3 linked regions of the Mytilus edulis genome follow. The protein of the gene in region 1 interacts with the protein of each later gene in a biochemical or structural test. Links are inferred from orthologs where the notes say so. Each region holds a gene or a part of one and is shown on either strand. Other genes may lie near its edges. The genes, in order: general vesicular transport factor p115-like, syntaxin-5-like and golgin subfamily A member 2-like.

The links.
Region 2: the proteins of general vesicular transport factor p115-like (region 1) and syntaxin-5-like form a complex in vitro, tested with the Homo sapiens proteins (2 studies listed by BioGRID). The link is inferred for Mytilus edulis from reciprocal best matches to the Homo sapiens genes USO1 and STX5.
Region 3: the proteins of general vesicular transport factor p115-like (region 1) and golgin subfamily A member 2-like form a complex in vitro, tested with the Homo sapiens proteins (2 studies listed by BioGRID). The link is inferred for Mytilus edulis from reciprocal best matches to the Homo sapiens genes USO1 and GOLGA2.

Annotation. Positions count from the first base shown.
Region 1 is NC_092352.1:26,330,093-26,341,944, forward strand, and holds the start of general vesicular transport factor p115-like, read left to right. Parts: upstream 1-7,448; 5' UTR 7,449-7,649; coding exon 7,650-7,715; intron 7,716-10,453; coding exon 10,454-10,540; intron 10,541-10,891; coding exon 10,892-10,956; intron 10,957-11,808; coding exon 11,809-11,852. UniProt on the Homo sapiens protein: General vesicular transport factor required for intercisternal transport in the Golgi stack; it is required for transcytotic fusion and/or subsequent binding of the vesicles to the target membrane.
Region 2 is NC_092346.1:73,715,676-73,726,817, forward strand, and holds the start of syntaxin-5-like, read left to right. Parts: upstream 1-6,094; 5' UTR 6,095-6,197; intron 6,198-11,140; 5' UTR 11,141-11,142. Other genes in the region: methionine synthase-like, read right to left, coding at 412-506, 833-892, 1,358-1,464, 1,898-1,990, 2,236-2,305, 2,854-2,943, 3,641-3,837, 5,914-5,953. UniProt on the Homo sapiens protein: Mediates endoplasmic reticulum to Golgi transport.
Region 3 is NC_092345.1:23,876,992-23,887,839, forward strand, and holds the start of golgin subfamily A member 2-like, read right to left. Parts: upstream 3,001-10,848; 5' UTR 2,924-3,000; coding exon 2,876-2,923; intron 918-2,875; coding exon 756-917; intron 285-755; coding exon 232-284; intron 1-231. Other genes in the region: ribonuclease H2 subunit A-like, read left to right, coding at 8,354-9,277. UniProt on the Homo sapiens protein: Peripheral membrane component of the cis-Golgi stack that acts as a membrane skeleton that maintains the structure of the Golgi apparatus, and as a vesicle thether that facilitates vesicle fusion to the Golgi membrane.

The sequences.
Region 1 (11,852 bases):
AAGTAATAAATTAAAAACTTGCACCTCTCCATTACCTTTAATTTGACAGGTAACAACAAATGAGACTTCTCAAACTTTAAATGTTGCTCAGTCTGGGAAATATTTATATCTATGAGCCTCCTCATGGCGTTTTTGATTATGTGATTACTTGGTTGTTTTTATAGAGAATATTTGATTATTAGACCAAATATTTCATGATTACTTGATTATCTTGTTTACAAAAAAATGATTGATTATGTGAATATTTTGGCAAAAATTTTTGTGATCATGTGATTACTTGGAAACCCCTGTGAGGGGCCTCATCCATTGAATCACAAATAGATGAATATCAAATCATCAGTTTATTTGTTCCCAATTCATTCAGAATGGTGTGAGAATTACAATCAACTCTAGATGTTATTACATCAAAATCTATCATTAAATGGGGAATTGAAATTTTATAACATTTACAATTATAAGTTCAGCTTTAAGACTGAAAAATCTAAAATAAATCAGCAACACAGTGTAAGGGTTTACAATTCAATAACCTGTTAATCAGGACAATGAAATGTGCACTCTTCATTGAAGCTGAGCATAGTACATGTTTCAGATATCCTGTTTTTTTCTCAAGTTTTTGTTAGATTTTGGTATAACTACATGAAAAACAAATGCACAAGGTTCAAAAGAAATCCTTTCTGTCTCATTTAGTTCAATATTTCAAATACCATATTTATCTAAAGCTGCTATCGGAGAGTCACATAAAAACCAAAACATTTGGGCAAGTTGATGTACATGTTGTATGAGAGACAGTTAAGTTTTAAGTTCAACTTTGAACCATCTAATGTTCATCAGTACTGATGAGGCAGCAAGAAAACTTAAAGGTCAAAGGTGAAAGAAAAAACAGAAGGTTAAAAATGAGAACAAAAGAGGTCTCACAAATGTCTTGTCAATGGTATGATTTCTGAAAAATTAAGAATATATCTTGAGCTCGTGAGATCAAGACAAAATTTTCGACTAAAAAATTGGAATAACATATTTACATTAAAGATCTTCTAGGCATCCACAAAGACAACATGTAACAGTGAAACTTTTGTCATAAAACTTTTGCAAGAAAGCGTAAAAGAAAGTAACCAAGGATGTGATGTTACAACAGGGATCATTAAAGTATAATGTTTAGTTACACCTGATTAATTTCTCTACAATTCCTTACCTGAGAATGTATGTCAAAATGTTTGTTGGATTAGTTCAAAAATATGCTGCCTATTCCTGCAAATATAAAAAAAAGTATTGTAGCACCTGCTGTGTCAAGATCAATACGTGTAGTAATTGGATATGTTTTATAATCAAATGTTCACAACTCACACCCTATTATTTGGTTAAAAAGTTGTACCATATAATTTCTAGTTAACACTAAGATTTAGTTTCCAGTACATTATCAATCAATGCTATACACCAATATACATGTAACTATACATGTACCTATACCTGTAACATCAGAATAGTACAACAAGGTCTTTAAAGTATTGTGGACTAGGAGTTATCTGCAATGTGTTTTTTGGATGATTTTTCAACTAAATGTTTACATCTAAATTTGTGCTGTTCTGTGAAATCTACAATACAACCATAAGTTAATGAATGCTTTTGACCATTATGTCTACTACAGCCATTTAATTAAGAAGAAAATAAATCAGAAAACCTTTCTTATAATATATCCTTTTAAACAGTTATCATCCAGTCGCTAAAGTAGATTTGAAATCCTAGTTTAAGTCTGAAATGTATTTTTAATACTCTATTTCTCAAAAAGTATTTTTACTGATAAATGTTTGCACATGGTATTGCTCTCTCCTCATAGTAATTGTGTCAGACTCATTCATTTTGCTTTAAAAAAATCATGAAAGTTAAGTTTTTACGTTCAAATTTACCAGCAAAACATTAAAAAATATATCAATAAATCTGTAAACTTTGATTAACCAATATTTTTTTTATCTATAGGAAAACAAATTTATTAGAACCTAGAAGTTAAGAACTTCAATTGTTAACATTATTGTTTTTGTTAAATTTTTATGTGATGCTTAAATTCATTTATTTCTATCATACACACTAGCATCAACTTACCTGAGCCTGTGAGAGCTTATATATACTATAACATGTATACGGTGTATACTGGTAACATTTTACAACTGGATATATTTGCCAAGTGAAGCTGAAAAATGTTAAAACGGTTAATCACTGAACATTTTTTTGCTGAACATTGTATTTAACTAAAATCAATACATCTTCATATCATTTTAATGTTTAAATAAACCAGATGCTACGAAGGGCGCAGCTTTATACGACCCCACAGGTCGAACCCTGAACAGTTGGGGCAAGTATGGACACAACATTTAAGCTTGATACAGCTCTGAATTTGGATTGTGAATAAATAGTTGACACAACATAGGTTTCTGACACAGAATGAATGTGGTCTAAGAACTTAAACTTAAAAACTTAAAAATTTTAAATTGGACATTTAACTATTATGGTCCAATATCCAAAATCTAAATACATTAGATTCAGCATATCATAGAACCCCAAGAATTCAATTTTTGATGAAATCGAATAATGTTCAAATTTAGACCCTTTAGACCTCAATGTGGACCAATTTGATAACAGAGCCCAAATATTAAAAATCTAAATACATGGTTAGATTCACCATATTGCAGAACCCCATATATTCAATTTTTGTTGAAATTAAACAAAGTTTAATTTTGAACCCCGGTTTGGACCAACTTGAAAACTGGGCCCATAATCAAAAATCTAAGTGTTAAGATTCACCATTCAATTTTTGTTAAAATCAAACTAAGTTTAATTTTGGACCCTTATTCCTAAACTGTTGGGACCAAAACTATCAAAATCAATCCCAACCTTCCTTTTGTGGTCATAAACCTTGTGTTAAAATTTCATAGATTTCTATTTACTTATACTAAAGTTAGAGTGCAAAAACCAAGAAAATGCTTATTTGGGTCCCTTTTTTGGCCCTAATTCCTAAACTGTCGGGACCAAAACTCCCAAAATCAATCCCAACCTTCCTTTTGTATTCATAAACCTTTTATTAAAATTTCATAGATTTCTGTTTACTAATACTAAAGTTATTCACCAAGGTGCGAAAACCAAAAAAAATGCTTATTTGGGCCCTTTTTGGCCCCTTATTCCTAAACTGTTGGGACCAAAACTCCCAAAATAAATCCCAACCTTCCTTTTATGGTCATAAACCTTGTGTTTAAATTTCATGGATTTCTATTTACTTTTACTAAAGTTATAGGGTGAAAACCAAATGTCTTCGGACGACGATTTTCCACAAGTATGTCATGTACTTTATTTACCTTTTAAAAAATAAATATCTGTCTTTTCTTCCTAATTCCACTGTACTTGACAATGATTATGGTAGAAAAGAGATAAGATGAAATCTTTCTTCTTTTTGCATATATATTTAACCCATAAAATACAAACATGTATACAAAATTCTTTGAAGCAGGTTATTAACCCTAAGGCCTACTGTCTATTAAAGACCTAAAGAAGATAACACTAATTACCATAATGTTTAAATTTTGATCAAATTCAGTACATCAATAAAACAGTGATCAGATGTCTAACAATAGATAAAGGTAGTTGTAAACACTAAATATATGGATGGTACCTGGGCTTAAACAAACTCTCAATGGAAAATAAACTTTTAAACAAGCACCAACAATTTGTTTTATTTTTGCATAAATCTTTTTTTTCATTGTTTTCGTGGATCAACAAGTGTCCAAGGAAATATAGCAACACAACTGTTGTCCAAATCAAGACATGAAAAGATACCCATACATGTAGGTTTTACAACATAGATATAGTCATGCCATATAATCTAAAGAAGACTTCAAATATCAGCAAATGCACTATGATCGACAACTGCATGCAGGATTGTACCCATTTAAGCTTTAAAGGGGCACTAGCTGTCAAATTCATGTTCACAGATCTTAATCAAATTATCATATTTGATTTATAACAATGTAAAAGATTTATCCAAACTATTAAAAGTGTAAAATAAACAATAAGCAGGGCACAGGCATGAAAATATGTAGCTTCGCTTTGTGTGTATTTTGGTCTAGACACCACCTAATTAACTATTGAGTTGACCTCTGAAGTCATCCGATGACCATATAAGCAATTTAAACATAAATATAGATATAAATAGATTGAGTAAACTTGGATTTTTCTAGGTCTATTTAATTTCATAATAAAAATGAAAAATAAATGTTTCAATCATCGTTTTTACCTGTATAAGAATGATTTTTTGTGGATCGAATCATCCAATCAAATGATTTACCTTTGTTTCACTTTATATGTTGACATTCTTCTTCTTTAAAGAACTTTACACATACAATTCACGTGTTATCCATCTCAAGCAAAGGGGTTATATTGAAGTTCACATGAATACGTATTCAATGAGGTCGAATTATTCACTTGCAAGTGAATAACCCATAATCAATGTTTTTTAGCTTATTTTGACAAAATTGAACCATACTGGCTGCTTAAAATAATATATTAGATTTTTAATAAATCTTGTAGCTAGACTTCCCCTTTAAAAACCTAAACTGAACGAATTTTAATCTTTTAATTTAATTTTTTTTTAAATATTTTGAACAATAACAGTCAGATTTCCAGTGAATATATGCTATGATGAATATGATCATTTATATCCTCATAATTCTCATACAGAAAATTTTAATATTATATTGCATGGGCTTGCTTTTGATCAGAATTAATTTTACAATTCAAGGTACATGTACTTCTATACATGTCTATAGCATTTGTTTATGCACAGTTTTCTTAGAGTGTCATTCCTAAGGCCAAATTAACCCCATTGATGGTCTTTAGTCTGTTGATCACTTGATTTCAGGGTAATTAGTGTAATCACTTCTGATTACCATGATTACACTGTGCAACAGTTCAAATGTTTACTTTATTTTTGCAATTTCCATCAATCGAGACAATTTATAAGCATAAACATGATAAACATGATAAATTAATCAGCTTATTTCTGAAAGCAAGTATTTTATTTCAAATTTGTTGACTGTTGTCAGTTTCAAAAAATGAACAAGTAAGTGAAAATAAACACCTTATGTTGCAATATCCACAAATCATTATAGAACAACATAATCTGATGTTCGGTGGTTTTCGTTTGTTGATGTGGTTCATTAGTCAGTGTTTCTTGTTTCTATATAGAATGGTTTTACGGTTTGAATGGTTTTGTACCAGTCATTTTTGGGGCCTTTATAGCTTGCTGTTCTGTGTGTGCCAAGGCTCCGTCTTGAAGGCCATACTTTGACCTATAATTGTTTAATTGGCTATTATCTACATGTTGTCTGTGCAACACAAAACCATGAAACTTAAAGCCAATGATGGGAAAGTTGCCTTTAACCTGATCAATAAAACAATAACCTGCTATTGTAAATTAACTGAGCAAGGCGTCACAGTTCAAATGACTAGGTTCAAATGTATCTACTTCTATATATTCTGGATTCTCTGGTTTTATCCATCTAGTGTCTATCAACATTTTTGCCAAATATGACCAACATTTCTATTCATAATTTAATAACAAATAGTTTTAAGAGTCATATTTGAAAATCTTATTAATTTTTTTTCACAGTTTTTGAAAGAAAAATATTGCCAATAGTAATTGTATGAAAAACTAATTCCTTCCAAATTTTCAATCGCTTCTTTGAATTTTTTTTTTTTAAGTTTGAGATGTTGTAGATATTGATGTTACTTAGGACTGGAGTGGCTTAAATCAAAGCATAACAGAGTGTTCTTGCAATAAAGCAGATAGATATCTTGCTGTTCCTAACCCAATAGTATTATTTGGTCTAAAAAATTGCCAAAAATATGATATTTGAGCCTTTGCAAATAAAAGTGGACACACACAAATGTCTCACCTGTTGTGTATTTCTAATGAAAGAAAATGCTATCAGACATACATTATATATTTTAAGCTGTAAATAATGAGTAATGTTGCTGCTGCTGATGCCTGTATGAATGTTAAAGCTGCTACCAGTCCTGCTGAAGACAACTCTCCATACTACCAATTGTATAGGTTATTATTTGCTATATATATATATATATGGAGATATGCTGAATAACTGTGGTTAAGAGTGAAATAACTTACTAGTGATATATACTATTATATTAATAATGATAACTAAAGATGGGGATGAACAATGAGAGTATAATTGCTAGATTTTAATACAAGAAGAATATTTAAACACTAGCTTTGGAAGTTTAGTGCTGAAAAGTAACATAGTTTACAATGTGATCAAGTAATAAGTTTTCAAAACATTAAAAAATACTGAAAAATAAAGTTATTATCAACTGTTACTGAATGAAAGGAATTTTCTTGATATCAGATCCACAAGAAATACACCAAATATAGTTGACCTATGTATAGCATACAGTATAAAAAAACTCAAAAACTGAACTTTGACAACTGAACCATGGAAATGAGTTCAAGGTCATGAAGGTCAGATGACACCTGCCAGCTAGACATGTTCACTTAACATGTATAATCATTCCATACACCAAATGTATTAGATCTATTGCATACAGGACACAGTACAAGAAAAACAGACCAAGACACAAAAACTTAACTATAACCACTGAACCATGAAAATGAGGTCAAGGTCAGATACACTGAATATACTACACCTATATGATATGGACTTGACCACCAAAACTTAACCTTGATCCATGAAATGAGGTTTGAGGTCAAGTGAAAACTGTCTGTATGGACTGACAACCTTGCAAGGTACATACATACCAAATATAGTTATCCTATTACTCATAATAAGAGAAAACTTAACATTACAAAAACATTTTTTCAAGTAGTCACTGAATCATGAAAATGAGGTCAAGGACAATAGACATGTGACAGACAGAAACTTCGTATTCTGAGGCATCTATATACAAAGTATGAAGCATCTAGGTCTTTCACCTTCTAAAATATAAAGCTTTTGAGAAGTAAGCTAATGCCGTAGTAGCCGCTGACGGATCACTATCCATGTCTAGCTTTCTGCGACAAAAGTCACAGGTTTCACAAAAACGACAATTTTGGAAATCAAAATGGTCCGAACTTTAAAACCAGTTGACTATTTCCAAAATTTTTGGCACCAATGAATTTCCCTATACTTCATAATTTAGCTGACCTCCCTAGCACAATTAGTAAAATTGGAAATTCAGTAGTTTTATGGCTATGCAGCCTCTAAATTTATAATGCCATTAATAGACAGATATACTTTCTCTGTAAGACTGATTATATATATATTACCTCAATAATACCGTCACACAAATATTATAGCCGGCTTTCAAAAACAGGATGTAAATCTTTCATGCATCATTATTCTGTATAGTGTTGATTTCTAAATTTGTCAACAGTAAAATCAGCACTCTATAGTAGAAAGTGAAAGTAGATAATTCAGTTCGAATTAATTCTTTTTCAGATATTTCAAAGACACTTTAGAGTATCTTTCGATACAAACATTCGTTCAGTGGTTTATTAAATCCTTTATAAACAAAACATACTATTATATTTATTTACTGCGAGATTGCCACGTTTTAATACGCATGCGCACACTCCGGAAGCCACGAATCACAAAATGGATTATTTTCGAAAATATTTAGGTCCTTCACAGGGTGGCGTACAACCCACAGGAGCAGATACTGTTAGTAGAAAATGAATAACATATATCTTAAGCAAATTTAGAAAAAGTCTAATAACGCTATCACCCTGTACTTCAACTGTTTGCAAACGGCTGTTACCGGCTCAACCCCCTAAATAATTTTGTGAAAAAAATATGTTGTTATATCATATTTAAGTATCAATTATATACGTGAGTGTATGGCTTAGTGGTTAGGACTGTTAGAGTTTGCACTGAAGGTTTCGGGTTCAACCCTGACACAGGGAGGAAAAAGGGGGGGAGTGTACCATACACCTTACCTTACCCTTATCGCTATTTCATTTTGGAAATCTGTGATGCTAAATATGGCGTGAACACAACGCTGGAATGTCACTTGTTTCTTATATTGTAGTGTAACTTTGTGACGGGTCATGTTTATACATGGGCTTAAAACAGATCGATAACATACACCTTATCGCTAATCCTGGCTGACCCGGCCGCTTGAATCACTTTTCCATTGTAGCGTCAGATATTTTGTTTTGTGACGTCAAAATTTTACGGGAACCCGTGTGATATTCAGTAATGGCAGACAAATAGCGATAAGGTGTATTATTATAGCATGTAACGTTTTCTTCCTTAATTTACATATTCCTGACACTGACAGTCATTACAACAATCATAACTTTTCCATTTTGACGTTATTTTCTGTTATGACGTCATATTTTTCAGTCAGGGGTACTACTTGTACAAGTTATTTTTATTTACTTATAGAAGTAATATTAATATACTTATACAAGTGAATTTTATTTACTTGTATAGGTAAAAAAAAATATGGCTTAGTTATGTCCCTTAGACATTCCGATTAATTACCTATATATAGGTACAAAAGTTATCCTTTCTTCTTTTCTTAAGTTCTTAGGATTTCTTTGCTCTAATAGAATTTTAAATTGTCTGCCCAGGGAAAAAAATTAACGGTCGTCCAGTCGCCAATGGCGACCAGAAATTGACCTGGGCGATCTTTTTACTCAGTTGTGGTAGCCCAGGTGGCGAATTGAAAGCAAGTTCTTGACTGACCAAAAATCAGCAATTTACCGTGACTCCAAGTACTGGCTACTTCACAGACAAAAATTTAAATTCAAAAAGAAAAATCTTTTTAAAATGTATTGCATCAAAGTCGCGGTCGCGATAAACAAGGATGTCAAATCAGTGTTTACCTGTGACTAAATATAGTTCATGTAAATTCAGGTCACTGATTGGTCGTCTATTGAAAGTCGGAATGTAAGTGTAATTTCATGGACAATGAAAATCCCATTTGTCTGTTATGAGCAATTTTTGAAGGCCTTGCCCAAATACTTAGATCTTTGCGCAATCAGTTTCTTTGTTGAATTAATGAGATGAAACATTGAACACTATTAAAAAAAATTGAGCTAAGCAGGGAAAAATCATCAAAGGCAAACTTGTCGTCGGTAAAATGCAGTTTTTGGCTTATAACTCAAAAACCAAAGCATTTAGAGCAAATCTGATATGGGGTAAAATTAATTATGAGGATAGATCTGTCTGCCCTAAGGAAATTTTGCTGTTTTTGGTTATTATCTTGAATATTATTATAGATAGAGATAAACTGTAAACAGCAATAATGTACAGCAAAGTAAGACCTAAAAATAAGTCAACATGACCAAAATGGTCAATTGACCTCCTAAGGAGTTATTGCCCTTCATAGTCAATTTTTAACAATTTTCATATAATTTGTATATTTTCACTAACATTTTCCACTGAAACTACTGGGCCAAGTTCATTATAGATAGAGATAATTGTAAGCAGCAAGAATGTTTAGTAAAGTAAGATCTACAAACACATCACCATCACCAAAACACAATTTTTTCATGAATCCATCTGTGTCCTTTGTTTAATATGCACATAGACCAAGGTGAACGACACAGGCTCTTTAGAGCCTCTAGTTCATCAATAGACAGGTGTCTTATACAATATTTTAAGTACTAATGCATCCTTAGTCTGTGAAGGCTGTATATCGGTGCTTTGCTTTTGCGCCAAAATAATCTTTCATTTGCGCCAAAAATTGAACTTTCATTTGCGCCAATATTTCAGGTAAATACGCATGATACAGGTTAATACAGATATTGATAAAAAAAAAATCTTTCAAAAACCCTGTTGATAAAGTTCTTGTTAGTCAAAACATATTCCTCAGAAATCAGTCATCATAAAACCATAAATAAACCTTTCAATGCGTTTTTGATATTATACTTTCTGCTGGTGTACCCCATGGTTGCGTTCGTTCAAAGTTTTGATAATTGTTTAGTTGTCAGTTGGTATTCTGTCTTTACAAGTTATTCAACCTTTGCAAGTTTTTTGGGACACCTTAATGACTTGTCTTAATTTTTCAGATCATACATGTATATGATAAGACTTATTTCCTTGGTTTGTCTCTGAATTGACAATGTCCATCTTGACACATCTAAAATGTGAACACTATATAAATTCAAACCTAAGTGACTCTCAGTAATACTGTAAAAACAAATCTTAATCAATTCACGATAGAGCGACGAATGTTCGTTTCCTTTACTACCTGTAAAATGGCGCAAATGAAGTATTTAATGTTTGGCGCAAATGAAAGATTGGATTTTTAAAAAATTGGCGCAAATGCAATGCGCCCCTGTATATATAGATTTAAACTACAAATGTACAAAGCCATTAGTACCCACTTTAAACACAAAACTATATTTCTAAATACACTTACTAATGAATCAAAAATATATTGTTTTTAGGTTGAAAGATTAGTGGACAGAGTTCAATCTTCAACATTACTGGATGATAGACGAGATGCCGTCCGAGCACTTAAAGCAATGTCTAAGGTACAATGTAATAAGAGTGGCAAACGATTTATTTATTTTTGGTATCAAAATCAAAACAAACAATTCTAGCTATAAATTTCTTCCAATTAAGTCTGGTGTCTTAAATTTTTTTATCTTTCAGAAAAATATATCTATTAGGTCATAATTATTATTTGTTGGATTTAAGAGATACTGATCTGAATCATTGTGATTTTAAAATTAAGATAATGATTTTAAAAAGATTTGAAAAATTCCTTTAACAGGAAAAAGTGGGAAAAAGAAAATGACATTTAACAAATGTACAAGAATTTTATTTTCTAGGAACAAAGTGCAATATTTATTTACTTGAAACAAAATTTACATTTTTTATAGAAATTTCGACTGGAGGTTGGGACACAAGCAATGGAAATACTCATAAAAACATTGGAAACTGACAGGTTGGTATGACTATAGTATATGATACAAAATTCATGAGACATCATTGATCATTTATATTGAAACTTAAAAAAAGACAACATTTAACTTTGTACTTGTTTGGCTTTATAACTATTTTGATCTGAGCATCACTGATGAGTCTTATGTAGACGAAACGCGCGTCTGGCGTATTAAATTAAATCCTGGTATCTTTGAAAACTTTGACATGTTTATGGCTCTAGTATAACAATTTGCTTGCAATTTTGTTAAGAAAACTATATTGGCCATTAATGACCATGATGACCCTTATTTGGAATAATGACTATTCTTTATTTAAGAAATAATTTTATCCTGCCATGCTCTATGCTCATTTTAACATGGGTAGGCATTATATTTGTTAATATCTTAATACCCAGGGTTATCTAGGTATTAAATGTTTTCAAATATAATGCCTACCCATGTTAAAATGAGCATAGAGCATGGTAGGATAGAATTATTTCGATTCTAATAGGAATATTTGAACTTTTTCACTTCGAAGCTGACCTATAGTAGACGCTCAGAATGTCTCCATTTTGATTTCATGAACCAAAAACGTTATAGAAAATCAGCAGTTTATCAATAAAAAAGAACAGAAACATTTAAACTTACTTTTAGAATGTTTACATTTAATTGCCTAGTGAGCAACATTAACATAAATGTCCATTTGGATCTCTGGCGTTGTTCAAAATTCATCTGACGTTGCAATTTCAATTGTGACTTCAATCATGTGCAGCCAATGTTCTATTTGAATTAGAACATGGCTTTGTACCCAAAGCTTAAGAAGAACGATACTTTAGAATCTGTTCTAAAATATAATATACTGTTTGTAATTGTAGGAGTGATGCAGAGATTACAGGTTATGCCTTAGATGCCTTATGTA
Region 2 (11,142 bases), on another chromosome or scaffold:
TTCCTGGCTGATTACTACACAATGCTCATGCATAATGATAACACAAGCACATTCCTCCAGTTTGTATTGAAATTAGTAAATACGAAACCAAGCGCGGTAGGCAGAGAAATCAGGTCGGCAGTTATGGAACAATGACTGCGTCATTTTCCAAAAAACTCTTTTGATCTATTTTATTGGTAAACAAAGTACAATTCACATTCATTTAGAAACAAATATAAGCCAATTTTAATCCTGGTTTCTATAATATTTTTGTTAACCTCCTACATTTCACTAGACATCAATACTATGTTGCATACTGATGTGTCATCATTTGCAGCACAAACACCAAACAGGTCAAAACAAGAAAAGTTGTAATCCATTAAGGTGGGCACAATGATGAATTATGCATACACAAACCAATTCATAGCTTACCACATAGGATTGGCATGTGATACACTTATGATAAATGCTTCTGTAGTCTGTCCAGATAGTGTTCGCCCACTCTTGTCTACAATGGTTCCAGATATCTGTAAATATAACATTATAAATTATATATAGTCTTATATGAAAAGTGTATGTGATGAACATGATGAAAGCACTAAACCTGACCATAAATAAAAGTCTCATTAACAAAACATATTTCTTTAAAAACTTCCAATAATATTTTATACCATAAACTGGAACATTAACATGTAGTAAATACACTATATCATACATGAACAGTCAATATTTAAAAGATAACAGTTATTCTGAATGCACATTCACATCATTTTCATAAACAGTATCTAAATAATAGAGAATTTTATTTAACACTTTCTTTATATTCTACTATCAATGACTATTGGCTACTTACAAATACTGGACACTCAATGTTTTCTGCTTGAAAAAGCTTATTTACTGCAAAAATGGCTGCCTGAAATAAAGAATAATGTTGTATTCATGTTGCATTGCTACTGCATATCCTAATGCTAATAGTATATTGTCATGGAGAAAATTTGTACCAGAGTGCAGATGTATTCAATGGATTCTTATTCATGTTAACATAACTTTTGATGGAGTAATGGATTGTATTTATAATGAAAACATTGCAGCTCTCAACCTACTGACAATTTTCATCCAATTCAAATTTCCTAGGACTATTTATGAATATGACCTCCTTTAATAAGAATCTATAAACTGACAAAATAAAATGAAGTTTTCCATATGTTTCACCTTATATGACCATATAACTGGGATGTAACCCAGGTCAAAAATTTCATTTTCTATATCCATTTTAATACAAAAATCAGATTATACTTTTTTATGTTAATAACTATCTAAATTAAATGTCAATGTGATTCAAACAAGTATGTTGATACAAGTAACAACATGTTTATACCTTAGAGTTAGCTGTATCAAATATGGTTTCAATAAGTAGAACATCTGCTCCTCCATCCAGTAAACCTTTAGCTTGTTCATAGTAGGCATCTACTAATTCATCAAATGCTGCAATTCAAAGCAAAACTACATTAATTCTAACAAAACATTAAGCCAAACATAACATTGAAAGAAAATTTTCACATTATATATGGAAACCCATACAATTAAGAATTATAAATGAATATCATAAGACTGTTCACGTTATGACATCACAATACCTTTCAAATTCTTAATAAAACTCTTTAAAGGATTTTTTTCCCTATTCTGCCAATGCTTGATTGGTCTAAACTACACACAATCAGGAGGTAAAAAATCAAAGTTTTTATGAAAATGTTAGAGTTATCATTCTTTGACTACTGAAAGGGGTAAATTTTAACAACACAAAATTTCAACACAACTTGGTGAAAAATGCAAGTCAGTGTCAGGTTTTTTGCTTACCAAGCAGAGTTGGAGAATTAAAAAATAACTAAACATGGCCTATTTATACCTAAACACTTACTTATATTTCTAAAATCTGGTTTTTCTACTGATGGTGAAATTGACAAGGTTCTATTGGTTGGTCCCATGGCTCCTGCAACATACCTCTGTACACCTGAAATAAAAAAAGTGGAAATTTTTTTTCTTAAATGCTCTGGCAATTTTTAGATATAAAGAAAGCCAATGTATACATAAATATACATGTATGTTAAACATTTTCAACAATATAAATTAAATTTAATTACAAATTTAGATAAACAAAACCTGAATTTAAATTATAAGGAGAGGAAAGTCTGAGTATAACCTAGACTGAATCCCCCTAGTTTATCTGGAATTTAATGATAAATATTCTACTGTTACCTGTGGCTGCTGTGACATCATTAGCAGCTCTCTTTGCTAGTTTTGCTGACTCATGATTTAGTCTGTATACCTAAAACATATCAAAAGTAAATGCTGAGTGGTTAAATTTTTGCAACTGTATTAATCTTATTTTTGGAACCAACATTAAACAAGACCAGATAAAATGCCAAATACACTAACCTTCTTCTAAAATCTAATTCAAATTCAGGATCTAACAATGTGATTTTTAATGAAATAGGAAATGCAATTTCTTTTTTGTTACACTGATTTCTTTCCATATAAATTTTACCATTTCAAATAACATAGGCTTTTTTCTTCATAACTCATTTAATAACTGCAAATGTAACAGAAATATGTAAACAAAGACAATAAACTTTTCAAAATATTTTAACCAGGGCTTACTTGTGCCATGGAACATACACCAAAATCATTAGAATACATCTCACAAGCAGTAAGTTAAGAGAAACGTTTATACAAGCAGAAATGCTGTTGTGCTAAACAATATTTTAATTCTGTGCAGTTTTTGTGTCCTTTAAGAATGTTCAATAAGATCTCATTATCAGTGTGTATGTATGTGAATTAGCTTATAAATCGGGAAAATAGTAAGTTATTTCATACCATATGTTCTAAACCATAATCTGCTTGTGCAATGGTGGTACCACTGAATGTGTTTGTCTCAACGAAATCAGCTCCTGCTTCAAAATAATCCTGAAATGTAAAGTATCAAATGTAATTTAATTCTATATTCATTCTTGCGATTCTGAAGACTAAATTTAATAAAAGTATCTGAATAAACAACTGTATCATTAGTCCTTGAGTAACATGATATGCCCATCTGCATCTTATTCTATATGTTACCATAAAACATCCATAAATCAGAAAATAAAATGAAACATGCATAGCATCATCTTATATCTGTATAAGATTAAAAAAAAAGCCAGGTAGCCTTTGTTGTAAGTTTTCCATAGAAATAAATGTGCCAAAATCGGATTGTTGTGATGTACATTCTTTAGTAAGGTACAGGAGCAAAATCATCACTATTTTTGTTTCTTCTTTAAAACAGTATATAACCAATCTGTATCAAGTCAATGCTTTCATCAAGTTTCCAAAGAAAATAATTGTTTAAGTTATTGAATGTCGTTTATAATTACAAAATGTTGTTTCACTAGGTTAAATAAAAAATTGCAGATGACAAAAGCAAGTGTTGAAAACACCCTAGTGAATTGATGTCGAGAAATGTGAGGTGATCATGATGAACTAAGGAAAGCAACTTCTTAACCATAGTCACCTAGCAGCCTGAGCCCTGTACATGTACCTACATGTACTAAAACTGTATCTGATCTAATCAAGCTATTAGCATGATTAGCATCAACTTAAATAACATTCAGTAATTTACAAATTATACCTTATGAATTTTATAAATAATGTCTGGTTTGGTCAAACTAAGCAAATCATTGTTTCCTTTCAAACTTTTGGGATGATCAACAAATGCAGTACCCCTGAAATCCTCTTCCTCAAACCGTTGCTGCTGAATCATGGTTCCCATTCCGCCATCAAATATCATTATTCTTTCTAACAATGTCTTCTCTATAGAGTTTTTCACTAAAAACATAAATAAGAGGGTCATACAGTGGGAACCTTCATGATGAATAATGGATAAAAATCTTACCAATGACTTTAACGGTAATTAAAGGTGCAGGAAGATAAAATGTGCATTCTCTTTGTCAATAAAAAATCACGATAATTTCTTTCCAAAGTAAAGGTATCGGATAGTTATTTGGGACCTCTCATGACTTATGATGAGGCTTTTTTGATAATTCACAATAAAATGGTAACAAATTTGATGCTAATGGTAGCCCAAAATGATTTTGACGCCTGACAGTAAAGGTCATTGCCTTCCCTCATATAATTACAGTATACGCCTGACAGTAAAGGGCATTGCCTTCCCTCATATAATTACAGTATAATCAGTAAATCAATCTGTCAACATTTGTGTCTATAAGGCCAACTAAAATCAATTAGTAGATTTTCATCCAAATTTATGAAAAAAATGGGGTGGGTGGGAGAATTTTATTTTTTAAATTTTATTTCATATGAAACCCTCTTGTGATGTGTTCTTCATATACATGATATATATGCAAGTGTAATAAAACTTATATCATGTATGTACATGCATAAGGTTCCATATATAATTTTTCAATAAATATCTCTGATTGGCAACCACTGTTCTACATGTAATTGCCGCTTTAAAAACCTATTTTACATGTTTTATAGTAAATAGCAAAAACGTACAGAAATGCTCTCTTCAATTGCAATCCCCACACAAAATTTTTTTTGTTGCTTTCTAAGCATTGGTACATGTGTAGTCCCAATGAAATGAAGCAAATGCATTTGTATGCAACACAAGTATTATATGTATAGAATAAAATGAAAAATAAGTATAGAATAAAATGAAATATAAGTATAGAATAAAATGAAATATAAGTATAGAATAAAATGAAAAATAAGTATAGAATAAAATGAAATATAAGTATAGAATAAAATGAAAACTCAAACAGTGTTGAAATAATAGGGTTGGTCCTTATGCAAGATGCAAATATAGTTACAATATAAAACATGAAGTTGTTTAATAACTCTATCGAGGGTATTTGGACAGAGGATATTTGCTGTTTGTCAACAAAAGACGACAGCCATGGGTAATTCTAAATCTAAGGGCTTGCTATAAATGAGTATAAATTACTAAAATGCGTATGTTTGTCAACTTTTTTATCTCAATATACGATCATCAATTTAACAAGTTCATGCTTGTGTCAATTTCTTTATTCCAGTCTAGGTTTTTGTACCAATGTGTTTCACGCTTTGGGTATCATTCACAGGCCAAATATCCTGACACAAAGTCATTGTATAAATAAACTAAAAATCAAAGGTGTTCTAATCACAAACATTTGTGACATACCGCGATTTGTGTTTTTGGACAAAGCATATTAATCGTAACCCAAATAGTTCATGCACATCTCTATAACAATCTCTATTTTCGGTAGATGATGTTGTCATCATAGAGTAGAAGAATATGTTGACTTAATCATTAGTAAGATAACTCTAAGAAACGAGAAAAGGAAAACCGCAATTTGAAACAGGAAGTTTTGAATGAAATGAAATTATAGATGGTTACCGGTAACAAAAATTAATAAATCCGGAAATCCTAATATTTGCAAATTATAAAAAACCGGGGCAGGAAGATTTCAGAGGGGCGGGCGGGGATGAAAATCTATCAATTAATTTTAATTGTTAAAATGTTAAAATTATCAACATACAGTTACTCATTAAACATATTATAACAGTGAATCCCATGCCAATCATGTTTTTTTTTAAGTGAAAAATCCTCATGATTTAAGGTTTGAAACCCTTTGGCTCTTCCAAAAGTTACTTTTCTCAACTACTTTCTAGAATTATGATATAATGGGGAAGGAAATATTGATTTAGACATGCAATTTTGTACTTACATAAGAGGAAAAATCAGTCATAACTATTTTCTCAACATGCAGATTCATAATGTATGAAATATTGGCCACTCGCACTCCAAAATGCAGACGAATTTTGTAAGGGAGATAACTCAACACACATCAGCTGTTCTGATGTTTCATAATTTTTTTCTAAATATTCTAAGCAAGTACAAACCATTTAAATAAATTTCCTGGCTGTTTGCGGCTGGAGGCATTTTTGTAGTGTGTCTGACTGTCTTGTTGTCTTTAGATTGGTTGGGAAATTGTGTTTTCTGGGACAGTCGTCTTTTCACGTCCGAACAGTCCGCGGTTAGACAACCAAATGCCGGATAGACTTACCCACAATGCATTCTAACAGTTGCGCTTGCGTCAGGAAAGCGGAAATTACGTCTATTTTGAGTCGTGGTGGAAAGAAACATAAGAAACAGGAGTCACTTTCTGTTTATTTCAAGTATTATTGTAACTAGAACCACTTTTACTATATGATATTTAAATAGTTTAATCCCAACAAGTCTATTCCCACTTGATTATTTTTTTCAAATTAGTTCTGGTCACTGTTTTGATACTATTTGACAGCTGTCATTCACCTCAACTCATGAACTGTCATTTCATGATTTCACTGATTTCAGGATTTATGTAAAGTTGGTTAGGTATTTCATTTTATATTTAATATTTATTTTGAAATAAGACCAAATAGCAGTGCTTCACAAGATAGCAATACAGTGTTGAACATCTACATGCATCATAATTTTGACACATCATTTTCTTCCAGACTCTCAGTCATACATGTGACAGAGTTGTCAAGCCACAACTGGAGATTTGGAAATTTTCAGCTGGAGTTTGGGCCTCATAACTGGAGATTTTTTATCGACCTTTTTATAGACATACGCAAGATTTTTTCTTGCATGTTTAAACTGCATATGGGTCGTTTTAAAAAAATGTCGAATTTTCAGTACACCCATGCTAACTTTTTTATTTCTAATGGAAATTTCAGTTGTAATGGTTTAAATGAAAGCTTGTCGGATTTGTGATTCAGAACATTAATAATAAACACACCTTACATCTATTTTGATAAGATTAAACTGCAATTAAGACCCATTTTGGGGGTATTTGTCTGCGTACAGTGTCAGAAAAACACATTTCAAATGATTTTTTTGCGATTTTCTGATCGCCTTGATATCTGCAAAAGGGACTTTTTAAGAACGTTTAATATTACTCTAACGAAAAATCGTAGCTTCTATATCATTGTATGTAACATATTATCTACAAACTAAATTGAATCTGCGTACAGGAGGTTCATGTCTTTCCTGTTACCGCTACTTAAATCAGCCGTGAAATTATTCTCCCTATGAATATTGAATCAGTCAGTGTTGATCTCAAAAGTGCAAAGTAATCTTTACATTTAAAACGCCTCGTTTCTTGAACGAAAGTGTAGAGAAAAGAAATTTCAAGACATTTAGTGAAAAAAATATAGCGTACTTTTTTTCATGTCTATGCTGTTACCACCAATTTTGATTAAATACACCAACAGTATACTTGTAAAAAGTGCAATAACGTGTTGGAAACCAAATTCACAATAGAAAAACATAATCACTTCACCAAAGGGAGTAGTTATTTCACAACAGCAATCAAAAACGAAGAAATTTGTCTATCCTGTTATGTCTATCCTGTTACTATGGTTGCTATGGTTACAGTAACAGGATAGACAATTGTAGACAAAAACGTCGTTAATTTTTTTATCTTAACATATAGGTGCAAAACGAATGAAATATTTCGTTGTTTGAAGTCATCTTAAGGTTATAACGTATTAATCTTCCCAATTAAGCATTCGCAGGTGCAATACTGATATCGGTAACAGGATAGACTTTTATATAGTAATATATCAGAAACGTACGTTCCTGTTACCAATGAAATATAGAGAAAAGTAAACTAACTTATGAGGGATTTACTTGATGTTGGGTTTATTTGAAAGGGTGAAAAAATGCCGAACAATATAAATTGCTATCTTAGACTTGCATTACTGGTGGTAATTTTTACAACCTTTGAAAACCAATTTTTAGAGGCATTTTTCAGTACAACCTGTTAAATTGGCAAATAATCTATTATATTACAGAATGAATATATATAGACGTTTATTCTCTTGAAAACCATCTAATTGTCTACGTAAAACAAGCTTAACATTTTATCTAAACCTTTTCTTAATAACCCAAAATTTCTTTTGAAAATGGTAACAGGATAGACAAAATAATGTACCACCGATCAAAAAATGTTTCAACATATTTTTGTATGACATCATTAAGATTGCATCTTTTAATATGTTGTTCTTAAAGTACTGTTTGTTTTGATTTGCTTATGTAGAGGGTTGTTTGAATAAGTAACTTTTAATAATTTTTTCAATTTCAAAATTCGGCATTTTTTGAAAATGACCCATATCTTCCTTTTTTGTTAAAACACAACAATGATTCCATACCTACAAGCACCTACATAGCCATTTTAACTTAGTAAAATAGAAGATAAGGGGGATTCAAATATTTACTCATCATAATTTTATATAGTTCAAGATAAAGTGATCAGCCATCATACATAGTTGGCAAAAAGTATATCTGCTTTAGCCACATTGTCAACTTTTGTACCACTACTGAACATGTTTGTAACAGAAGGTGTTGAATTGATAAAGTTGTGGGCTATCTGGTTGGTGGCTGTCTCCATATTTTTGGTCAAGTAATTAGGGCCACCATAGTCAGCTTTGCATGAAGTGTAGTAAGCATGATCTTAATTTGGCTAGATATATACTGTGTCTTCTTTTATTTGATGCTGGGGCAAAAGTATTTGGTGATAACATACAGTTTGCATTTGTCAAATTATAAGACAAACACACTTATTTAGGTATTGGACCAGATAGAAGACATATCATATTTGAGTTGATTTTATTGTCTTTGAGGTTCAGTATAAACTAAATCTGTTCCATGTTTTCAACAGCATCAAAATTTATTAAAGTCGATGTTGATACAACTGTTCCATTGTCAGTATCACTTTTAATCATCCAGACATGTTTATTTAAATATTTAGTTGATTACTAGGTAAATGCCAATCATCTTTTATTGTTGTATATACAGTCTAATCCTTAACACCTTCACTGATTACTCGAGGCTATTTTCCTATTTACCTTTTTGACACAAATTCCATTACAGGAAACTTCCGATTTTCTCGGACTTTTCCCATATCAATTTAGAGTTTCTCGGACTTATTCCCTGTCTGTATTAATTTTGTAAACAGAAATGTCTACTGAAATTTTTTCGAGATTGACATTTTCAAAAAGCGGAAGATTTCAAATTTTAACGGGAGGGACGGAAGAGGGTCTGAAAAGCGGGAGATTTTAACTCCCGCCGGAAGAATCACATGTATGCTCAGTATCATGAACCTGTGAGGCTGTGTGTCAGTGGACTCGCCTTCAAAAATCCTATGTGTAAACCCAGAGTGCAGACACTAGTTCTCAATGCCAAGTTTTTGTGTTCTCATTGTGGTGGAGTGGGAATTAAGTTAAAAAATTACTCTTGACCCTCTACATCAAAAAATTGATTTCTAATCTCCATGTTTAATTTGCCTAACCAAATGTTATGGAACTTTAAACATAATGCTTGTAAATAACCATAAAACTCAGATCAAGTTCTAATTTGGGTGGTGTCACTATTACAGTCATGACAGTTCTCTAGTTATGTCCCCTTGTTATGTTGTATGCATGCAGGGTATCATCTGTGTCCTATGGACGGAGCCTATGGATAAATTCTGCATTTAAGGGGAAAAATAGGAGTTGCTTTTCTGGTGGGGGTGTCAACAATTATTCATTTTTCTGTTTATGTCAGTTTGATAAAACTACTTGTGATAGATCAATGATATATTCTGTAAAGTTGCCTTACTATATATATCAGTACATTGCGTATATCTATATACAAATGTACATTATATGTCAAATCAGTTCAACTACAATTTCAAGGCCCTTCCCTCTAGGTCAGAGTCTAGTAACTTTGAATTAATTTTGCAATTTACAGTGTTAAGTTTTTCTGCTTAAGTCTGTTTGATAGGAATTACTTTCAGACTCTTTTTCATAGATCATGGGTGTTTTCTATATTTGCATTACTAACAGTACATGTACATACATGTACATGTATCAATTTGTCAACTACTCTCTAGTTCATGGTTCAGGGACTTTGAATTAATGAGCAATGTTGCTGTCTATCAGATTGCCTTTTTCTGAATTTTCTGCTGACAGGCAAGACATACATGTACATGATATATCTTTGAGTAAATAGCATCTTAATTAACTTGGTTACTGCATTTTTCTGGTTTGCACACAAGTAAGCTTTTAATTCATGTCACAAGTATTTCCAATGCATTTTTGATGATGCTGGCTTTCAGAAAGTTGTTGCCAGAAAATTTGTAAAGGTAAAAAAAAAATTATTCAATTTCAAAAAATTTAAACAAATTTTCATGTTACCCAGTATTTCTTAAATCAACTTATTCCTTGATGTTAAGTCAATTCAATTTTGGAACACTTTTTATTATGAACATGTGTATTCATACATTGTGTGTACCTAAGATGTTGTAAAGCTTATTTGTGACTCAATAATTTACCAGAGTCCTTAATCAAACTGGATATAAAATGTGTCTTCATATTATTTAATTGTTAGTACATTTACATGTATACTTGGAGTTTGTTGTTATTACAAATGTAAAGATTTGATTATGATGTCAGTAGACAAATTATTAAGATACTTATATACTTCCTGTATGAATGGGATTATAGTATTATAAACCAGTAAGAATGCAGTTATAAGTTTCTTCTTTTTTTGGTTTAAGCCCATTTTTTAGGAGTTTAAATGTAAGAAAACTGTTAGTAGGATGCTTTGCGACAGAGATAAGGTGATATAAATACAGGATATATGGTATTAGTCTACCAAAACATCGTTATTGAGAAAAATAATGTTAATCTTAAGCTGGAAAATAGCACTTGTTCCAAGTGGTCTGTCTTTGACATTTGGAGTTTGACTTAATACAAATAAAATAAAACTAGAAAGATGAATAACCAGGATGTTAACTAGGGTGACATACTATTTGTTTAAAACCAGTTTACATACATATGTACATATTTATATTTACTTCGTCTATTTATAGACTTATATCATGTTATATGGTAGAAAAAACATCCAAAATGGTAAAATTCAGGATATTTCATTAATATCTTTGTCATGTATGTAGACATATTGAAGTTATATGATTGTATACATGTAAGTCGAATCTTAACTTTGTTTCTGTTTAATAATTTATTTTAAATTAATTTTTAGCGATTGTTAAGCATTTCATTTCAATCATGTCTATTTTTGAATTTCCTTTTTTTTTAACAGAA
Region 3 (10,848 bases), on another chromosome or scaffold:
TCAAGTAAATAAGAAAATCGCGAATTTTAAAAGGCGCGAAACGGACTAGAATTGGTAAAACGCGAAATAAAGTATCCGCGAAAATAAGTTGGTTTACAGTATGTTCATTTGTGTGTTTACATGCACATATGTTGAATATGTCTATAAAAAGAAAAAAGGATGCAAACTTTTAATCATATGAAATATCTACATTGTACATATTGTAGGATGTTTGGTGTATATTTAACCTACTTTAGATCTTCACTATCTTTTCTGTTTTCTATGGAGTCTGGAGAATCTTTGGTCTGAATTTAAATAGGAGACTTTCAGATTACTAAATCTACACACATACAAGCAAATGTAAATACAAATGTATATAACTTTTTTTACATACTTATAAAATTCTACAATAACACTAAACTTCTTTAATAACATACAGGTATTCATCTAATAACTGTCATTGTTGGTTGACTAACAAGTGTAGACAAGTGAGCATTACTTGGATATATATGCTAGTGAGGAATTATACAATAAATATTAAATCTATAAGAAATATTTGCTCTCTCAAAGAATATCTAATATCTAATGTAGAAAATTTTGTTTTATTCATAATTTAAAAAAAAATCTACTACATACTGAAATTGAAACATGTCCTATCAGTAAATGTATCTATTACAAAAACATTAATTACATCATTACAGATAGAATATGTTTTACTCAGATCTTATCTGCTTTAGAATAACAAGGTACAAATGTTTGTCTTGAAAGTGTTTTACCTGGATTATATCTGTTGCAGAATTACCATTTAGGTTTTGGAATGTGTTTTCAGCTGTATGCTTAATTTCATTTTCTGGGTTCTGTGTACTTTCGTCATTAATCTTAGACTTTTTAGCATTTGCTGGAGAAGTTTTCCCAGTTTTCTTCTTAAACTGGTTCAACTGAAACAGAAATATAAAATTTATCCATTCATTACTGCAATTTAATTAATTATAATATGCCAGTCAAAACCAATAATCTTTCAGTTCACTAAGTTCCAAATTAAATATCTCTTTTCACATTTATGTTTTCTAGTTAGCATGGTTAGTGAGTCGACTCATGCTCCTGTCACGAGAGCATTCAATAAAGTATTATTTTCTTTTCATGAATATAACAATTTAATTTGTAAATTTTTGCTGCATATCAATCAATCCCTTTGGAATTTTCCCCCAAACTTCTCTAACCTAGCTGTATACATTTGTCCATATGCAGATAAAATCGCATGTTCCAGAACAGTAATTTGTATTGTAGAAAGTTTTAGGAAAATTCCTTTCCAAAACAAAACACCTGTCAACCCAATTAATGCACAAACACACACAATATAAAATAGTATGGACAATTCAATTGTAACCAATATGTCTTAAAATGCAATTTCCCACTGCTCAGTATATATTTAGCAGCATACCAGTCAACCTCTGAAACCTTTAAAGAGGGAGATCTCCCCTGCTTTGTCATAGATTTTGCATGAACGACATTTTCAAGTTAAATACATTTGTATATGACCTGTTTCTACAAAACTCCAACAAAAGTTAAATAAATATACTTTTTTCTTTGATTCACTGTTATAATCTATACAAGCTTGGGTTTTCAGCCTGTTTCAACACCTTCTACAATGTTCAAGTCTCATAGCTCATAATATTCCATATTTTGATTTCTTTATATATATATATGAGTTCTTTACTATTTACAAGCACGCTTACAAACATCGAACAGACCACCAGCAGAAATTCAATGATTTGAAAAAAGATTTATTGCCTAGTGAACTTGGTCATAAAAATTAAAATAAATCATTCAAATCTGCTCGACATTAGGATTTGCATTCATCTATATCTTTTTTACTCTGCCGCTTGATCTAGACAGACCTCTATCTTATTGGACTGGAGTTTACATTAGGGAGCTACCATTTGATTTTTATGGGGGGGGGGGGGGGCTAGGATGAAAAATGTTGTCCTGAATTTTTTTTTAGTTGTAATCTCTGTCCTGCCTTTTTATTTTTCACTCTATTCTGTCCTGCATTTTTTTTAGTTTATCCTGACTTTGTTAACCTAAATTGTCATCCTGACTTTTTTTTTGCAAGTGTCTCATCCTGCCTTTTTTTTTTAATCAAAATTCCTGTCCTGCCTATTTTTTTCAAATTTCATCCTAGCCCCCCCCCCCCATAAAAATCAAATGGTAGCTCCCTTACATAGCAGGACTGAATTGTGATTCCTAATTATATATGGAAGGGACATTAAAAATTCTGTCAGACCTAAGTTTTCAAATGATTGCTGATTGTTAGGTTTATTTCTATATTGAAATCAATGAATAAGTCATGAGAAATACAATCTTCGGTTATTCTAGGTCAAAATATAAAAGCAAGATATAATTTCGTCGTTTGCACAGGGGTATCCTACTCAAAACAAGACTCAGAGGGTTGGTAGGTATGTTTCGAGGCGTCTGTCTTGTACATTTGCAGAAGTGCTAGAATTGATCACTGTTGATTAACTGTTTTTACCACCAAGTTGCGGACCAAGGCTCCTACGCTCCAGCTCATTTTGCCTTAATGATCATATCAGTTATGCTGATTAATACTATATCACAGCAAACAGACAGTCCCTATTAATTTAATAACATGTATCAGCTCATTTGAGCTGATGTTTTCTTTATTTGCCGACTCTAAATAAAGCTTATTTTTTTATTATTGTGTGCATAAACGAACTGATGAACCGGCTGCTGTCAAAATAAAAGAAGAGAGAAAGAAAGAAAATATACAGAAACCAAACTGTACATATCGGTCATTTGATTTGGAAAAAATGCTCTTCCTTTACTGTACAATATATATAAATTGAGTGATAAAGGGATAATGGAATAGGATGATAACCTTCTTCCTAGCAGCAGCGATTTTCTCCCGTTTCGCAGTGTCGGCCATTCTTTACCGGATATTGCATGTGCGTGCGCATTTTCATGACACGCAGTCAGTTTGTAAAGAATCTACACGTTTAAAACGTTTTCAGGTAACTTTTTCAGTCTTGTACAACTAAAAATTACATTAACTTTCAAAAATCAAACGTTTTGCACTCCTTGTAGGAAAAGAAGTTTAGATACAGTTTACGACAGCTTTTCGGAGCATCTCTGTCTGTTTCCATAGATAAAAATGGCGCGAAAGTGAGAAGACCACAAATTTTTACCCTGAAGATCTTTGAGCTGTTTAATAAAGTAAGTCCACATTACTATATCTTGAATTTCATACTTAATATAAAACATATGAAAACGAGTTGCCTCTATCAAGCACGCTCCAGTTCAAAATTGTTAAATCCAAAATAATTTAAACAGTTATCAGTCAGTAGAAATTTTAATTTTATCTTCATTATATGTTTATGTGTTAAGAATCAGAATGTATTGTTTATTGTTGTCATTATGTCCCGCCAGGGGCCCTTAATTGGAAATAAAGAACTTTGAACTTATAATTAAGGATTTGTATATCCTTGTTATAATTTATTATAATAATTTATTTTATCATTATTAATTTGACATTAATTTGATTTCAAAAATTTATACTGTTCATGTAAACAGCACCTTTATGAGAGTCCTAAAGGGGATACCTACATGACGAACAATGGTAAAAATTCTTGCTGAATGAAGTGAACCAGTAATTTTTATGATAAAACGTACACTTTCTTTTATAGTCCAATATATACATTGTATTATAGGTTCATGTACATCATACAATCATTAGTATGAAATTAATGTTGATTGTTCTGCTCCATGTGCATGTTGCGGGTGCTGTGATTAGCAATAGAATATTTGTTTGTTTGTACATTTATATATAAGTTTTGTTTTTATACGACCCCAAAAAATTTTTGGGATTGGGCCTAAAATAAAATTTCATTTGTTTGGCATTGCCGCCCGACCCACTGAAAAACTTGCCGCCCAAATAATTTTATTTGCGTTTCAGAAATATATTTTTTTTAATTTAAAAATATCGAAATTGTGCCGGAAATTGATCGTATCCACCGAGTTTGTTCCTGGCTTTACTTATTTCAAATCATGATCTTAAAAGCGCTTGCCTTACACTGTATTGGGAGCAAACATTTAAATGACATGAAATAGAAAAAGTCTGCCAAAAGTAATATCAAAGAGGCCGGCAGGGGAAGGCATCTCCCTATGCTGCAATGTTAAAACCCATTCAAGGCGTATGATGCCATTATAAGGCATCACCTTGGTACCGCCGTATGATGCCTTAATGCATCACCTTGCTACGGCCGCGTGATGCCATAATGCATCATGGAAAACGAAAAATACTCTGACCTACTTTCAGTTTTAATATTAGATCAATTACGTAAAGCTGTAAAGCGTACGTTACCACAATGTGTGAACAGGTTTCAATTATTAATATTATGTATAAATTTTGACAATAAAAGTCATTGGTATGTCATTTCTTCGTACTTTCGATTTGCGTTCATGATAAAATAATATGCCGCCATTTTTTTTAATTTTGTTGACATGTGTAGTCAACGTGATCGCTTTAAAAAATGAAAGGTCATATCCTTACACACAAAATATTTAAACCATGTGTGTACCGCTGTTTTAAAAATTAATAATATTTACTTATGACTGTTTAATAAAAAAGATAAGCCGGTAATGGCTGTCTCTTTCTGTATCATCTTCGCATGTTGTTGATTTACGCTCTGTTGACGATCGGAAGATGGATTTTATCAAAATTCAAATTTCAGCTATTCTTTGAAAGAAACGTTCTGAGAGACCTTGTAGAGGACTCAGATTTATCTTTTGTAAAGCAGAAACAGATGATTTCTGCTTGAATTTGTCGCTTCATGAGATAGAAGTTTTTCACCGGGACATCACAGAACAAATATGCGTGGCTCTTACATTTGATGAACTTATTAAATATTTGAAATTTATCATTGACAAATTTTCCCTTGAACCAGAGAACAAAGTATCTACTATAGTCAGACCCACAATGATGCATTCAAGATAATTATGGCTGTAAGCACCAAAGCTTAAAGACCATAATGATTTACAGGTTTATAGTAGTTTTGTACCAGTAGATGCTAGCCTGGAACAAAACATACATATTTTAAAGACTAGCATCTTGTGTCAATTGAAGTACTTCCCCCTTTTCTTGCCTTTCTTCTTAACATGAATAAGATAATTCTTAAAACATAAAAGATACTGACAGAAACATATTTATAAATGAATCCAGTGTACTAGTGATGAATAAAATCCCCTCTTTTTCCACAATTCTAAGGGCTCATTAATTTATCTGTATTCATGTAATGCATGTCCAGATTTCTGTTAATCAAACAAGCATTACAACCAATAATTTATTTATCTGCAAAAATTGTCTGTCCTGCTGCATAATTCCATTTTGAATTTATCATACGTTTTAAATCCCTGAAAAACCTTGCACTTGGATAATATTAGTATAAACACCATGTCTATTTGTGCCAACCTTCCAAATTTTTGATATTTTGCTATCCTAATTTGGAACAGATCCTTTATCCTCAAAACTTATCAGGCATGTTTTTATTGTAGTTCGTCACACCTTACATGTATGATTACTAGCCTCCAGGTATTGGTTTGAGCCCTAGTTGGGCAGTTGCAAAATTAAGGTTTGATTTTCATGTCAGATGTGATAAGGTTAGTCAGTTTCCTCCCACAGGTTGCCATTTTCCTTCAAGTACTACGGTTTAGTATGGCACTAAAACTGACTGCCATGAAATTACCCATATGGTGTAGAAAGTGATGTTTATAAAACCAAAGCAAAGTTTTAAATCTTTGTCCATTTGTACAAGGAGCCGTAGTGGTTGAGCCATTTAAATTATGGTAATTTTACCAAACTGTGACCACAACTTCAAGATGTGACATCAGGCCTCTGTTCAATGGGCAGTCCCACAATAAAAGTTCAATTTTCATGTCATACATTTTATATGGTTAATTTGTCAGTTTCCTGCCTCAGTTCTGTGTTTTTTTTCTGGGTACTTTGGTTAACTTTGCCAATAAAACTGACTGTCTTACGTGAAATTATCCATATGATGTAGAATGTGACATTGATGGTTGACTCCTTTCAAAGAAACCACCAGCATGTACACACAACAATGCTGCAATGCTTGAGACAACATTGATCTGGAGACTTCATGATTTACATGTATAAGGCTTTTAAATGTAAAAAAAAAAAAATCCCTACCTACCTACCCACCTGCTGATAGTGTGGGTCGGCAATGCCAAACAAACAATATTTTAAGGGTGGCCTTGTATAATGGTATGATGACTGATGTCGTCGTCGTCCGAAGACACTTTGGTTTCCTGAAAATAACTTTTGTTTAAGTGAATAGATCTTTTATGAAATTTTTTCAGAAGGTTCAATACACCAAAAGGAAGGTTGGGATCAGTTTTGGGGATGATGGTCCCAACCATTTAGGAATTAGGGGCCCAAAAGGGGCCTAAAACAAGCATTTTTCTAGTTTCAGGAGTATAACTTGTGCACAAGTATTTTAATTGCTCTGAAATTAAACCGCAATGTTTAAAACCACAAGTAGAAGGTTTGGATTCATTTTAGGGATTATGGGGCCAAAGTTTAGGAATTCAGAACCAAAACGAGCATTTTCTAGTTTCCAGACAATTACTTGTGTGTATTTGTATGGATCTCTCTGAAATTGTACCACAATGTACCATATAACAAAGGGGAGACTGGGATTAAGTTTTGGGTTAATTGCCCCAAAATTGTAGGAATAAGGGGCCAAAAAGAAGCATGCATGTTTCTAGTTTCCAAACAATCATGACAATAAGTTGTGTTTAAGTGTATGGATCTCTCTAATATTGTACTACAAGGTTCAATACTACAAAGGAAAGCATGGGATTGAGTTTAAGGGTTATTGCCCCAAGGGGGGTTTCAAAAAGTTTGGGGGGGAGGGGGGATTTTGCTTTTACCATTTTTTAAAGGGATTTCTTTTTTTTCAGAATTTTTTAAATTTCGAATTCTGAAAAGTTTCAAGAAGAAATTTTCAATTGCACAGTATTGTGCAATAGATTTGTTAGATTTTTGACCACATTAATTTTGTGACAAAAACCTATATTATGTCAAAAATTTGATCACAATCCAAATTCTGACAGTATCAAGCTTGAATATTGTGACTAAATTTGCCCCAACTGTTCAGGGTTCGACCACTGGGGATAAAGCTGTGCCCTGCGGAGCACCTGGTTTAATAAGTATATTTATGTGATTAGAAATTGCTTTACAACGTTCCAAGATGAGGGGTCAAGAGAAACCATTGGCTTATGAAAACTTTATCAGTTTAAATATTGCAGTAACTGTTCTCTCAAAGACTTTTTAGCATCATGATAATATGATGCTTATAGATTAGATGGTGTTGATGATGTGATGCTATGATTTCTTGAAGCCAGATTTTATTTCAAATTATCCTTTTTACCAGGATTATACATGTTTATGTGATTTTATGTGACAATGTTCTATTGTTCTGACAAACTGAATTACTGAACTGTTATTATTGAATGTAAATGTAAAAGTAGAACATGTATCAGGATTTCTTGTTTATTGTTGTAAATAAAGAACATTAGAATTTCTTGTACATTTTGACAGTTGTATATAGATATCTAATGAAAAGTGTAAATATTTATATGTAGAAATCAAAATGGAAGGTTTTGTTCAGGAAGCCTCTGTTTGTACAAAATGTATATTTGTTGCTCGTACAATTAAAGTGACATGCATGCACATACATGTAGCATTTAAATGACATTGCTTTAATTTATACAAGTATTTTGATTGATTGTCTAATTTGATTTCTAAGTCTCAGTACGATAACTGTGCTTTAGAGTTTTTAATATCACAAGGCTAGATGTCGTTTATAAGTGTTAGACTGAAAAAAAATTTCAAAAGGGGTAAATTTTTAATTTTGTCTGGTCAAACCAGAAACATTACATTTTTCCTTAACTTTCCTAGACATGGTTATGAAATTTCTGTTAAGAATACCGGTAATAAATAAACCTGAAAAATGAGCTATAAGACTGGTGTTTGATGATTTTGCAAAACAAAAATTTACAAGGAATGGCTCTGAAATATCATTTTTTCTTGAATAATGCATTTATATTTGAAATGTGCAGCAAGGGACATAAATCAGAATAATCCTATCAAAGAAAACCGATTTTAAACAGTTCATGTCATGCAGGTTGATTTTACAAACATAGGACCAGCAATGGGGATTGTTTATGATGCGAATGGTTATACAATATTCAAACAGAGGCACTGTTCTAAATTTTCTATTTTGATTTCTCTTCAGATCCAGGAGACGATTGCTTAATATCAGTAATTTTTAAAGTAAAAATGGAGGTAAAGGAGGAATTGGAAATTAAGTTGGAGAAAGAAGATAATATGAAGAATTTAATATTAGAATCTCCACTGCCAGATTGTGTCAAGTCAGAACCATGCTGGTTGGGAATTGATGAAGCAGGAAGGGGACCAGTACTTGGTCCTATGGTTTATGGAATTTGTTTTAGTCCAATATCCTTGAAGGAGAAATTTGGAGAAATGGGATTTGCTGATTCCAAGACCTTGACAGAAGAACAAAGAGAGAGCATTTTTGATAAGATAAATGAAGCCAATGATATGATTGGATGGATGGTCGAAGTGCTCTCCCCTACCTTTATATCAACTAGCATGCTCCGTAGAACAAAATATAACCTTAATGCTTTATCACATGACTGTGCCATCCGACTGGTGGCTCTCGCAATCGAAAGGGGGGCTAACATTGCTGAAGTTTACGTTGATACAGTGGGAGATCCAACTAAATACCAAGAGAAACTAAAAGGTATATTCCCATCAATAGACATAACAGTAGCAAAGAAGGCTGATTCTTTATACCCAATCGTTAGTGCAGCCAGTATATGTGCTAAAGTCACCAGAGATAAGGCTGTCAAAAAATGGAAATTCCAAGAAGATATAAATACAGAAGATCTTCAGTATGGCTCAGGTTATCCAGCCGATCCTAACACTAAAAGTTTCCTTGCAAACAATATGGACTATGTATTTGGTTTTCCACAATTTGTTAGGTTCAGTTGGTCTACGGCAGCCATTATTTTAGAAAAAGATGCAGCCCCAGTGAAATGGGAAGATGATGATGAAGATGAAAACGCTGACAAAAGCAATATGGCATTGACTTCATTCTTTTGTAAGAAGGATCATAACCCTAAAATGGACAGACATATTTATTTTAAAGATAGATGTATAGAAACAGTTCAAAAATTATAGTGCTGAGGTGCAAGAGATTATTCTTACTAAACCAAGGAGACTGCAGGCTAAATGAAGTCTGAGATTCCAAGTACATGTAGTTGTACCCATAATGTGTTCAGTTATTTAATCAATTAAATACAAATTAAACAACAAGTTTCTATTGGTTAACTATTTGATTCTGTGACGTCAATAAGCATTTAAAACTAAACAATTTAAAGGACTCAATAAGGTTTTTATCTTGCGTGTGACTTTCGTTGCAAAATGCCTGAGTAAGGTTTTGCTTTTCCAGCTGATGGGTCAACACTTGTTAAGTTTTCTGCTAATGTCCCATGAACTTGAACTACTTGTGATAGATCTATTATAATTTCTATAATGTTGCATTACTATCCAAATATATCTGACAATTTGATGACTATTTCGAGGCCTTTCCCCCTAGCTAGATCATGGTCATGATCAAGTGACTTTGAATTAATTAGCAATGCTGCTGTCTATTAGATTGTCTTTTTCTGAATTTCCTGATGGGAAGCACAACATATCTCTGTGTCAAAATTTTATTCTATTAAGATGCAGGATAATTAAATATATAAAAGTATTCGTAGGGATGCTCTCTGAATGACATTCACCCCATAATCTTATGTTCTGAACTAATACTATCTCGGAACTTAAGTTGTCAAGAAGAGGCAATAGAAACCAAAGGGGCATTAAAAAAGGTCAAAAATAATCTCTGACAATGCCATGGCTAAAAAAGAAAAAGACCAACAGGCAAACAATAGTACACAAGACACAACATAGAAGGGCAGCCAAAGGCCACCTATGGGTCTTTAACGTAGTGAGAAAATCCTGCACCAGAGCTCAGGTCCCTTAATTATATTGTGTACTAGTTCAGTGAAAATATACGTCATACAAGACTAACAACAATGAACAAAGGCCAGAGGCTCATGACTTGACACAGGCTCAAAAATGCGGCGGGGTTAAACATGTTTTGTGGGATCTCAACCCTCTCCTATACCTCTAGCCAATGTAGAATAAAGAAACACATAGCAATAAGCACAGTAAAACACAGTTTAAAAGAACTTGAGAGTCCAATGTCAGAATAGGTAACAAAAGAAACTTAGCAAAATGATAATGATGCATAAATAAACAAAAGACTACTAGCAGTTACTGACATGCCATCTCCAGACCTCATTTAAACAGAAATATTCTGTCTTCATCATATGACAATCAAGTACAATTCCTCCCATTATGGGTTTAGTATCATGATACAGTATTACCATTATAAAGACTGCTCAACATGAACAAGCATTAAATGGGGATCAAGTCATTACAGAGAAGTGAGATCTCTGTTTATTTGAGTTGTTCTAAATGGTTATTTATGCTTACATTTATTTCACCTCAAACCATCCATACATATTGTCATCATTGTTATAGCAATTTCACTATCATTCTCTTTCTGCAGAGATACTTTTTACCAACTATATATGATTGCTAATCACTCTATCTTGAACTTTATATATAATAAACAAATATTTAAAAAACCCTTATCTTCTATTTCTATCAAGTAAAAATGGCTATGAAGTTATAGAATCATT